Notamacropus eugenii: one gene and its partners. The protein of the gene in region 2 purifies or fractionates together with the protein of the main gene of each other region. This does not show direct contact. Links are inferred from orthologs where the notes say so. Each region holds a gene or a part of one and is shown on either strand. Other genes may lie near its edges.

Evidence for each region.
Region 1: the proteins of MINK1 (region 2) and CNOT9 purify together in Homo sapiens (affinity purification with mass spectrometry; 3 studies listed by BioGRID and IntAct, with this or other methods). This does not show direct contact. The link is inferred for Notamacropus eugenii from reciprocal best matches to the Homo sapiens genes MINK1 and CNOT9.
Region 3: the proteins of MINK1 (region 2) and STRN4 purify together in Homo sapiens (affinity purification with mass spectrometry; 3 studies listed by BioGRID and IntAct, with this or other methods). This does not show direct contact. The link is inferred for Notamacropus eugenii from reciprocal best matches to the Homo sapiens genes MINK1 and STRN4.

What each region holds. Positions count from the first base shown.
Region 1 is NC_092877.1:317,097,514-317,101,260, forward strand, and holds the start of CNOT9 (CCR4-NOT transcription complex subunit 9), read left to right. Parts: upstream 1-1,054; 5' UTR 1,055-1,187; coding exon 1,188-1,304; intron 1,305-3,747. UniProt on the Homo sapiens protein: Component of the CCR4-NOT complex which is one of the major cellular mRNA deadenylases and is linked to various cellular processes including bulk mRNA degradation, miRNA-mediated repression, translational repression during translational initiation and general transcription regulation.
Region 2 is NC_092873.1:79,245,327-79,249,073, forward strand, and holds the start of MINK1 (misshapen-like kinase 1), read left to right. Parts: upstream 1-1,008; 5' UTR 1,009-1,349; coding exon 1,350-1,406; intron 1,407-3,747. UniProt on the Homo sapiens protein: Serine/threonine kinase which acts as a negative regulator of Ras-related Rap2-mediated signal transduction to control neuronal structure and AMPA receptor trafficking.
Region 3 is NC_092876.1:28,840,702-28,844,448, reverse strand, and holds the start of STRN4 (striatin-4), read left to right. Parts: upstream 1-1,280; coding exon 1,281-1,559; intron 1,560-1,658; exon of another isoform or gene 1,659-1,688; intron 1,689-1,812; exon of another isoform or gene 1,813-1,827; coding exon of another isoform or gene 1,828-1,962; intron 1,963-3,747. UniProt on the Homo sapiens protein: Calmodulin-binding scaffolding protein which is the center of the striatin-interacting phosphatase and kinase (STRIPAK) complexes.

The DNA of each region.
Region 1 (3,747 bases), on a different chromosome or scaffold from region 2:
TGCTTCAAGCTCTTTTAATTGATGTCCCTATTAATATTATCACAGATAGTAAATATGTATCAGGGTTAATACCCAATTTAGAGACTGCCTATATTCCTACACGTCAGGATTCTATCACACATCTTACTTTAGAAGCACAAAAGGCTATTAGAGGTAGATTTAATAAATTCCATGTTTTACATATTCGATCACATTCTAATTTACCAGGTCCCTTAACTGAAGGCAATGCAATTGCTGATGAAGCCTTGCAAGTTTTTCATGCGGAGTCATCTCCAATATTAGCTCATTCCAAATCTCATTTGTCTGCATGATCTCTTAGACATTTATTTGGCATAACAAAAAGGGAAGCAAGGCAGATTGTAAAGGCGTGCACCCAATGTGCTCCATTTCTTCCACCACCACCTATATACTCAAAAAATCCTATAGGTGACTGCCCAAATGATATTTGGCAGATGGATGTCACTCACTATTCATCATTTGGATGTTCTCAATATATACATGTATGTATAGATACTTTTTCAGGCTTTCTTATGGCAACTGCTCGCTCTGGTGAAGCAGTCAAAGATGTGACAACTCACTTACTAGCATGTTTTGCTAATCATGGAGTGCCAAAATGTTTAAAAACAGATAATGGCCCAGCCTATATATCAGCTGCATTTAAAAAATTCTGCTATGAATTTTCCATCTATCATGTTACTGGCATTCCTTATAACCCTACAGGCCAAGCCATTGTTGAAAGGGCAAATCGTTCCCTCAAGGTTTACTTGCAAAAAACAAAAAGGGGGAATTACACAAGGCCATCAGGCATCTCTCAATTTAGCCTTATACACATTAAATTATTTAAAGTTCAATGATAAGAATCTTTCAGCAGCCATGAAATATGCTATTGCTATAAAAACATCAAGAGGAACTTCACTTCTAGAAAAAACACAAATAGAGAATGAAGGAAAACCGGCAATGTGGCGTGATGCAGAAGGACAATGGCATGGTCCGGGAAAAATAATCATATGGGGAAAGAGTTATGCTTGTATTTCCACAGGAAAAGAGAAAGAACAGTGGGTCCCAGTACGCAGGCTTCGGCTGATAGAAGAAAGAGACAATGGGAAGAAAATCACAGGGCAAGAGACTGAGAGCAGCAAAGCGGAGAAAGAAGCTGGAAGAACAAATAAGGAGTCTTTGTCTTCAAAATGAGGAGGTTGATTCTGTTTCTCTTACTGACTCTTGGGGCTGGAGGACGTCCAACTCCGACCCAGGAGACAAGTGGGAATGCACATCACTGGGCGTTCATCCCGAATCCTCCGTGGGTGAGGGTCATAAGATGGGGTGAAAAGATACCAACACCAGTATTACATGGCAGTTTGTCACACATGTTTGGGGGTGCAGGCTTTGAATTTATAGGTAAATCAAATGGTTCACAGCCAAGAATGAACTTTACTAGATTGATCACAGGATTACCGCTCTGTCTTCAAAAGAAGGTTGATGGACGATGGAATGGCACTGCATGGGTTTTTAATGATATAGCGGCCGATATGACATGGTGTGCAAACATAACTCTGGGACATGAGACTTTGGGTTATCGAGGGGACTCTAGACTCTTTCACCTATGGACTTGGGTCATTGAGGGACAAGATATGGATCTAAAACGAGAAATAAGTTTGAGATATAGACCATATTGTACAAAAATGGATGGGGCACGAGACATGGGACAAAAATGAGAAGTGATTTTTAGATTTGGGCCACAACGTGGAAAGAGGGATGATCCCAATGTCTCCATTTATTGTAATTATTCAGGTTTTGTACCATTTGAAGATTGTCAGTCACATCAATGTCAACAGACTGTGTTATTCTTAGAGCATTATAATAAGAGCCTTATTTCCTGTCACAACCTATCGTATTTTGGGCCAGATCGCTATGTCTCAGGATATCCTAGTCCTAGATATGTTACTAACAAGGGTTCTTATACAGCAGGGATTGAACGGGTGATTGCCACTATTGGGGGACAGACAGTATAAGGTTTTGTAGGACCATTTATAATTGTAGCACCAAATGGTACTATAATTACAAACCGTATTAGTCTTACGGCGCGAGTGTGTTTAGGATCATCTCATGCCTTTATGTGGGATCGTACAAGTCAGTCTACACTCGTGCCACATATGAATATGACAGGGATATTCAATTTAACTTGTCCGAATTGTTCGGTACATGAATGCATAGGGCCACAATTTGATAAAGGAAGGCTTTACATCATTACTAGGCCAAAGTATGCACTCACAGTAGTGAAAACACAAGGATGGTATCGCACTCCGGCTGACAATATTATGTCAGTATTAGATCAAAAGACAGCAAGTTTGATGTGATTCAAAAGATGTATCTCATGTGTAGTGTTAGGTATAACCTTATTAGTTGAGCTAATTGTTAGTTCTACTGCTCTCGCAATGTCTGTCTCTAACACGCAGAATAGTGTCCAAGAAGCGAGTGCTCTTCATGGTCTCATGCGCAATGTCTCAGAAGGATTTCAATGTCAGGCTCAAATGGATAAGGAATTTTACAATGCTGTTCGTGCTTTACAGAAAGCAGTACTGTTCTTGGGACATGAAGTTGCATATCTAGAATTACAAGCAAAGTTACAATGTGATTATAGGTATAATACTTTTTGTCTTACTCCAAAACAATATGATGCAACTGAAATAGCATGGGAAAAGATTCGGGCTCAATTACAAGGTGTAGTCAATGATAATGTGACCTCAGAGCTCCAACAATTGATTCAATTGGCAGAATATATCAGTCAGGCTTCCCATGAAGACCTACTTCCACAAAAAACTGTTCAACATATCTTAGATTTTTTCCAACATGCTGATCCCTGGCACTCACTAAAAACTTGGCTAATTTCATTGGGATCAGGATTACTAACATTGCTTATATTAGTTGCTATTATACCAATATTATTAAAGTGGATATTGTTAACAATTCGTAATTCCCTCTTCTCCACTAAGCATACCGTGCTGGCTATGAAAGAACAACTGTACCAAAACAAAAAGGGGGAGTTGTAACGGGACGAATTAGAGCTGACCCCTGTCCATCGCAGGACTCCACACTGAGAGCCTGCCTAGATAACCTGGGGGCTTGTCAGTAGGGGTGGAACTAGATGGATTTCAGGAGGAAGGGTCTCGTCTTTTTTGGCAACGTGGCAGTTCTTTGTCCAGTTCCGGATGTCCAGTGGAGAAGATACCCATATAAGGAATAATGTTAGGTGATAGGTTCAATGTATAGGCTTAGGAATGTTCACGTAATTAAGACTATATATGCATGTGAACTAGCTGGAATAAACGGAGTTCTCACCACCTTGTCTCCCACCTCATTTCATTATTCACTAGATCAAGGCCTCTTGCTGGACAAGAGCCTTGGGTCGGGGTTTAGGGATTCCCGAAATGGTCTAGGGGACCCCAACAGGAAAGGAATAGATGGGAGTCTAAAAGTATATCTTTTCAAAGTCTATCACTGACTTAATTTTGCTTCAGAGTAAATCAGTTTCACTCTTAAGTCCTATGTTTCCACACCTATAAAATGGTGTCAGTAGCCTACCTCTGGTAGACATAGGTATCAGAAATAGTTTAGAATGTTATAGCTAGATGGCACCTTAGAAATCATTTTTTTCAAACCTCTCATTCTCCCATTTCACAGATGAGGATTCTGAGAAGTGACTTTGCCCAGGTCATACTACTGCTCTAACAGTTATAATTCCCATCA
Region 2 (3,747 bases):
CATTCTTGCCTCTATTTAGTTCTCCTGTCTAAATGTTCTCTACTCCACTTCACTCCACCTATTCCAGCCCTACCCATCCTTCAATACGCAGTCTCAGTGCATAATAAAATTGCACAAGGGGAGTCAGAAACCCACAAAGTGTCACCTTATCAAACTCTACCTCTTAGTAGTTTTCATCTTCCACAGTAATGAATGTTGGCTCACCTCCCTCCTTTCCACCCTCATGAGAGTCTTGAAGGCTGAGCTTTGAGGGCAAAGATAAATTAAAGGTGCACACATATTCCCGATCCCAGGGAGCTCCCACACCAAGGGGAGAACCAGAGCTGTCCTAGGTTTGGGTGTGATGTGAGTGGCCCCAAGGCAAGTTGTCCCGAACAAATACACTGCTTTCATCAGCTGGACAGCGAAATCAGTTAATTCGACCTATCAACAATATTTACTACGAAAAACTCCTGGTTTAGTCAAGGACTTGGAGAAACGTCCCTACTTAGAAGTACCCCTGAATGACGTTCTAAGCCTCCCCTAGCTGGAGAGCATTTCCTGGGCTCCGGTACCTGCCCTCTCCCACTTGCATTCTCCCTAGGCTTTCCCTGCGGCACTCCCTCCCCCAGTGGTTCTCCGGTTGCCGTGACGACCAGGGTGGGTGGACAGCCTGTCCTAAGCCTAGCCTAGACTACCCTATCCCGAGGCCCGCTTTCCCCCTTAGCGTGGGGGGTTGCCATGGCAGCCCCTCCAGAGTTGTGAAGGGGAACTGGGTGTCGTTCCTTCCCCCGCCCCGCCCCGCCCCGCCCCGCCCCACCAGGTAGGTGGCTCAGTGAGAAAGTTAGGGAGCTAGTTGCAATCCTGGCCGGCGGGAGGGGAGAAGGTGGCGTGCAAGGGAGAAGAGGCTCCGTCCGGCGCACGCGCAACAGTTATTCCGTGCACTCTGGACCATCACATCCCGCACCTTTTCCCCACACCCACTTCCTACTCTCCCCGTCCTTCAGCTGGTTCTCGCGCGTGCGCACAGCCTGTCCTCTTGCTCCTTCCTCCCACCCTCGCTCGAAAAACGCATGCGCAGTAGAGTTCAGGGGCTCCCGGTCGCGAGTTCAGAACTTGAGCTCCTGTCAGTCAGTCAATCGGAAAGGCTCCTTTCGGTCAACTTGTCTGCATCTCGTCCCCCAACCCGTCTTTCAGCGAAGGGAAGGGGAGGCGAAGCGGAGCGCCGATCCCCTCTTCTCCCCCAATGGGGCAGGAACGACAACGGCAGCGCAGTAAGGGAGCCGGAGCCTGAGCCTGAGTGACCCCGCGTCTCTCCTGGGCCCGCCCAGTCTGAGCCTCTCGGCTCGGGCTCCGGCCCGGCCGCCGCCATGGGAGACCCCGCCCCAGCCCGAAGCCTGGACGACATCGACCTGTCCGCCCTGCGGGTGAGTGAGCCCTGCCCCCCGCACCTGGGCTGCCGCCAGCGCTCGCCCTTCCCCTCCCCCTCCACGTACGGAATCGTTTGGCCCGGGGCGCGCGCGTCCTGGTCCTCGGGAGGGACTGGAGGAGGTGATTTGGCACCGGGTCCCTGGGATGCACCCCCACTTTAAGGGAAGCCCCGCCCCCTCACGTGGAGACCTCTTTAGCCACCTCTCCCCTTTTCTCTCTCTTCCTTCCCCTCTGGGCCTTGGCTTTCCCCCCAATACCTCCGCACACACCTGCACCCCTGTGCACTTGCCCTCCGTCACCACCGCCTCTCCCTCCCTCCTTCCTTCCTTCTTTCCCCCTTCCTCCGCCATTTAGATTTCTCTCCTCCCTGATTATACTGCCCCTTCCGGCGATTTCTACATGCCCAGCACCCCCATCTTCCTCGTGATCCCTCTGCAACCTTGGACCCTCGTATCCCCTTCCTCGGGACTTTTCGTCCTTTGCGAATGTTTTGGAGATGAGCGTCCTTCCCTTTCCTTCTCTTTCCCCCGCCCCTCTGACACACTTTTCCTATGCCTGACATTCCCTAGCCTCCCTCACTTGTCTTTTCAACCGCCCTCCCCCCTCAAAAAATCACATGCAATGCGATTTTTGTGGCTTCTTCTCCCAGCCGCAGTTTTTAATGGCTGGCTTTCCTCCCCCTCCTTGGTTCTTTCATTTACCTTTGTCGTACTTACCTTCGGTCAGGACTTAGGATTCTGAAGCCTGTCTCACTCACTTCATTATATTAGAGCCTACCTCTTTATCACTCATCTCGCTGCCCGAGACAGTTTTCCCGATCTCTCTATTGAGAGTGAAGTAGTCTGCATATTACAGATATGAAACATTGTGAAATTAAAAAAGTCGATTATACCTGGTGTGGAGTTTAAGCTTTTCTGTCCAGACTGCATAGGCTGGTATGCGGACATTTGCTGCAAGCTAGTCTGGAGCTGTAGCCCACTAGAAAAAAAGATGAATGTGTAGTCTGGATGATGGGGAAGAAGTGTGGGTGGATGGTGACAACGAAGAGCCTTAGGGTGTGTGTGGTGGGGAGGTGTTTAGGGGACAGGGGCTTGGAAAGATTTGGTGATTTCAAGGTGGAAGACTTAAACCTGTCATTTCAGTGTTTTGTCCCAGTGCCCTTGGTGGCTTCACAACAGGTGTAGAAGGAGCAGAGTTTTCCATCTGGAGGCTAATCTTCTTGTCAGCCCTTGCTCAGCCGATTTGCTGGGATTTGAGTTAGCCAGGAAATGTGACCAATAATGGGAGAATATAGTTAGCTTTACAGATGCCCCTCATTTGGAGGGAATGAAGAGGCAGATGGAAGGGATGAAATAAAAGGGAGCAGAGTCATGTTGTTAATTGGGTGACACAGTTTTTTTCCTGCCATTTAGGTCATCATTTTCTTTGGTGTAGTGTCAGTCTATGAGACTTTGCTTCTTCGAGATGAAGTGATAAATTGTTAGGGAGGGAGAGAGTGATGTTTTAGTGAGTGGCTGTGAGATTATGAGGATTCAGACTGAGAAAACTGGTTAAGTGTAGAGTAACTTCGACTTGGTTAATGTAGACCCTTTCAAATAAAAGATCAGTTGGAATCCAGACTCTCAGCAAGAGGAACATTATGTGACATTCTCAGGGCCTTTCTTCTGTGACATATCTCTTCCCCACCCTCAAACAAGTCTTAGCTATTGATTAACCCAGGTGGCTGAGGTCCTGTGACTGGTGATTAAGTTTTCTTAAAAACAGATGAGTTAAAACTTTGCCGTTACAGCAATGTGAAACTCTAGGCTTGGCACATTTCTCAAGTGTTGGGGGATGGAGAAGTTGAGATAGTCTCTCTTATAGTTTTGGACAGGGAACCTCACAGTCCTTCTGCTAAGTGTACTGTGACCTTGGATGTGACATTACTGCTCTGAGCTTTTATCTTTCTGTTTAGAGAGATGTTAGACCTGGCTCTGACCACACACTCCCAGTTTCTACTGTTACTGGCTTCTTCCCCACCCCAACCCTCTGCGATGTAAGCATCTAGCTTCCATTTCTCCTTACCACCACTCCTGTCTCTGAGAAGCTTCTGTTTAACTTATTCTTTCATCCACCCGTTTACATATACATGTGCATACAATCCTCTTTATCAGAACCTACTTGGGAGTGTTGCTCTGTTGACAGGTCCTACTGGCTTTCTTCAGGAAACTAGGCACCTATCCTACCCAGCCTGTACATGCATACATGTTCCAACAGTACTGCCAAAGTGCTAACGATGCAAGCATCTTCTGCTCTGTTCCTGTCTGTCTTTCTGTGAGAAATGGAAAATGGAGGCTT
Region 3 (3,747 bases), on a different chromosome or scaffold from region 2:
CCTTAAAAGGGGTGGAGTAACCTTTGGTAACTTGGAACTCCTTCCCTGTCTGCATCCGTCTGGATTTAGGAAAGGGGTGAATGAAAAGGAGGCAGCCTGATGTCCAGTAACCGCAGCAACCTGCCTCCCTGCTCCCCGCTGCAAAGCTCGCAGCTCTCCCCAAGCGCAGCATCCCATCCCGGGACGGGTCTGGACGCCCTGAACAGACTGAGAAGGACGGCCCACAGCAACCACGATTCCTCCTTAGGACCCCCCTCCTACTCTCCTCCCCGCCTGGGGAGGGGGGAGGGATCACGGCCATCACCCTCTCTTTCCCTGGGCATTCGCACACCGGGGTCTAGGTGTGGTACTAGGCCCGGATGCCATAGCAACCCACACAGCCCGGGGTGGACTAAGCAGATGCTGGGAAGGGACAGATTAGGGTGACTATAGCAACAGCTCTATGGTAGCTGCCATGGCAACTGGCCTATGGGAATTGGGGGGAGGGACAAGGGTTACTGCCGCCACCGATCCTGGCCCGGGGGAAGCAGGTAAGTGTTGCCATGGCGACCAGCCGGCGGGGGAGGGGCCGGGATCGGCTGGGGGTTGCTGGGGAGGGTCGCCTAGACCGGCAGGATTGCTATGGTAACCCACGGGGGGAAAGAGATCCGGGATTGGCGGCTTGGAGTCTCCGGGACAGCGGGGGTGCAGGGGCGGTGCTCCCATAGCAACCAGTGGGGCTGGGGGGGCGGGAGACAGGGTGCAGACTGGTGCCCGTTGCTTGGCAACCCCGTAGGGATGGGGAGGAAGGGGCCTAAGGAGGGGCTGGATGGGAGGGGGGCGTGGAGAGCTGGGCCAGTTGCCGTGGTAACCGGCGGGCCAGGAGGCGTCTCGGATTGGAGGCTGGGAGGGGAAGGATGCGGCCAGGCCGGTCGGTTGCTACAGTAACTGGAGCGAGGGGCGGAGCCAGGAGCCCGAGTCTGGTTGGGGCGCTCCGCAGGGCGGAGAGGGGAGGGGTGTCAAAGGGCTAGGACCAAGGGCAGCCTTCCCGGCGCGCGGCCGCCGCCCCCCCCCCCCCGGCGCGCGGCCGCCGCCCCGCGCGCCTCCCTCGGGGAGGTGACAGCGCGCGTGCGCGTGCGGGCGCGCGGCGACAGCTGCGCGAGGCTCCTCCTCCCCTCCCCCCCCGCCCCTCCCCTCGGGCTCGAGCGCGCGTGCGCGCGGACAACCGCCGTCCGCGAGGGAGGCGCGCGGGGCAGGCGGCGGCCCGCGAGGGCGCGCGCGCGCTCCAGCCGCCGGCCTCCATGATGGAGGAGCGAGCGGCCCCCGCCGCCGCCGCCGCCGCCGCCGCCGCCGCCGCCGCAGCCGCCGCCGCCGCCGCCGCGACCGCCCCCGCCTGCCGCCCGCCGGCCCCCGGCCCCGCCAAGGGCGGCGGCGGCGGCGGGGGCGGGGCCGGCGGGGGCAGCCCCGGGGCGGGCCCCGAGCCGCTGAGCCTGCCCGGCATCCTGCACTTCATCCAGCACGAGTGGGCGCGCTTCGAGGCGGAGAAGGCGCGCTGGGAGGCCGAGCGGGCCGAGCTGCAGGTGAGCCGCCGCCGCCCCCCGCCCCCCGCCGCGCCAGGACCCGCCCCCGGCCCGGCCCGGCCCGCCCCCCGCCGCTGCCCCGGCCCGCGGGCCCCTCACCCGCCGCCGCCGCCGCCGCCATCTTGGAGAGCAATGGCCGCCGCCCCCCCCCGCGGGAGGGAGCGGGGAGCAGGGAGGGGAGGGGGAGCGGGGAGCGACCCCCCCGCCCGGGCTCGGGCTCCTGCCGAGGAGGGCACGGCACGGGAGGGGAGGGGGACAGAGAACCCCCATGGGCGACCTCGGCTCCTGCTCCCGCCGGGGAGAGAAGGGGGACAAAGAAGACCCCCGCCCCCCGCCGCGGGAGGGGCGGAGTGACCCCCTTGCCCGGAGGAGGCGCTTGGGGGGCGGCCCCGGGCGGAGGAGGGTAAGAGACCCCGGCCCTGAGACGGCTTCCACTCACCCCACCCCGTACGGGTTAGGGGAGATCCCGGGGAGGGCTGTGGAAGGGGAGCCCTCGCTCGGCCTCTCGGCAGCTGCGCCCCCTCTAGTTGTTTCTGACTCTTGGGGGTCGAGGGAACATTCTCAGAAGATCCCAGCCGTGACCCTTCTTCCTCCAGCAGCCCCCCTGGTGCCCTGAATTTTCAGTGGGGGTCCTGATTTCCCACACCCGCTGCGCCCCCCGCAACATAGGTGGGAGGTATTGGTTGATGTAGGACCCCTGGCATAGGGGAAGAGGTGGCCTGGGAATGAGGGGCGTTGTGGTCACCGCCCCAGAACGAAAATCAGAGGGTTAAATGTGGGGAAGGGCGACTTGGGCAGTGGCTGCAGGGAGGAGGGCAGGACCCCAGGACTAGCAGTATTTGTAAAGCAGTCTGTTGTGGGCTCATTGGCCCCCTGGTGTGGGAGAAGAGTGTTAGATCTGGGATCAAGTTGGGGCTCGTTTTTGTGACCCTGGACAAATCATTTCACCCTCCTGGGCCTCAGTTTCCTTATCTTTAAGTGGAGGGGTTGAACTCGACAGTCTGAAGTCCCAGCAATACAGCTATGAGCTTATGTGTCTGGTGGGAATTTGAGAATGAGAGACTTAGTGGAGCCTCAGGATATGGGGCCCCCAGAGGCAAAGACTGAGGCCATTGGAAGCGAGGCGAGTGGGGGCCCCAGCATGCAGAAGGGATGTGCTTGTCCAGGCAGCGCTTGGGTGCCTGCTTCCTGCAGCCTCCGGGCTTGGCTGAGAGGGAAGGGAAGACAGGTGAAGCAGCCCCTGCCTTTGATGAGCAGGAGGCAGAGTGGGCACAAGAAACCCCAAAGAATTGGGGAGCAGGGCAAAGACTGGGGGTGGCATAGCAGAATACATATCAGGCCTCTGACACTCACTGGCTGTTCGACCCTGGACAAGACTGCTCTCTGCCTCAGTGTCCTCATCTGTAAAATTGGAATAAGAGCCCCTGCCTCCCTCCCCCGAATCGCTGGAATCATATATGTGAAGTGCTTTGTCAGCCAGAAAGAGCCATAGAAATGCTGCTGCTTTTTATTTAAGCCCCAACAGTTGTGTAGACGGTTTAACCATTTTAGGTGACTTTTTTTCCCCAGAGAAAAATGTTCTATCTCCATTATGTACAGGCTCCTGAACAGATTTCACCTTCTTGTGCCCATTCAAGATGATTGTCATGCACTTTTATTCATGTCATACAGTTGGAGCACATGGGGCCATTCCCCCATGCCCTGGGTCTACTGTTCATGGGCTTCATTGGGTCTTTGCTGTTGCTTCCTGCTGTTTGCAGGGTGCCTGCCTGGAGCAGCTTCTCCTGACTCCTTTTCATCTGCACTTGGTGGGGAAGCCAGCTACCCCCTGGTTCTGCTAGAGGGCCCTGTTAGGGGCTGCTGGGTGGTCTGGTCACAGAGGACTCTGGACTCCCCTGGAAAGGCCAGGGCAGAGCTGGGGCTGGAGCCTGTTCCTCTTTGTTCTTCACCAAGGGGTGTCCAAGGGAAGTTGAGGAGGAAGGAATGGGGCAGAGCAAAAGGTGCTGGCGGTCTCATTCACTGACAGGGCCAGGGAATGGACCTGGGATTTCACTGGGACAGGGAGCTCCCAGAGGAGAAAACTGCCAGTGCCACCATCTCCTCTGCAATTTATAATTTGAGAGGGCTGATGGAGAGTGGGAGGGGGCATGACTTGCCCACATGGTCCTAGATGGTCTGACATATCAGA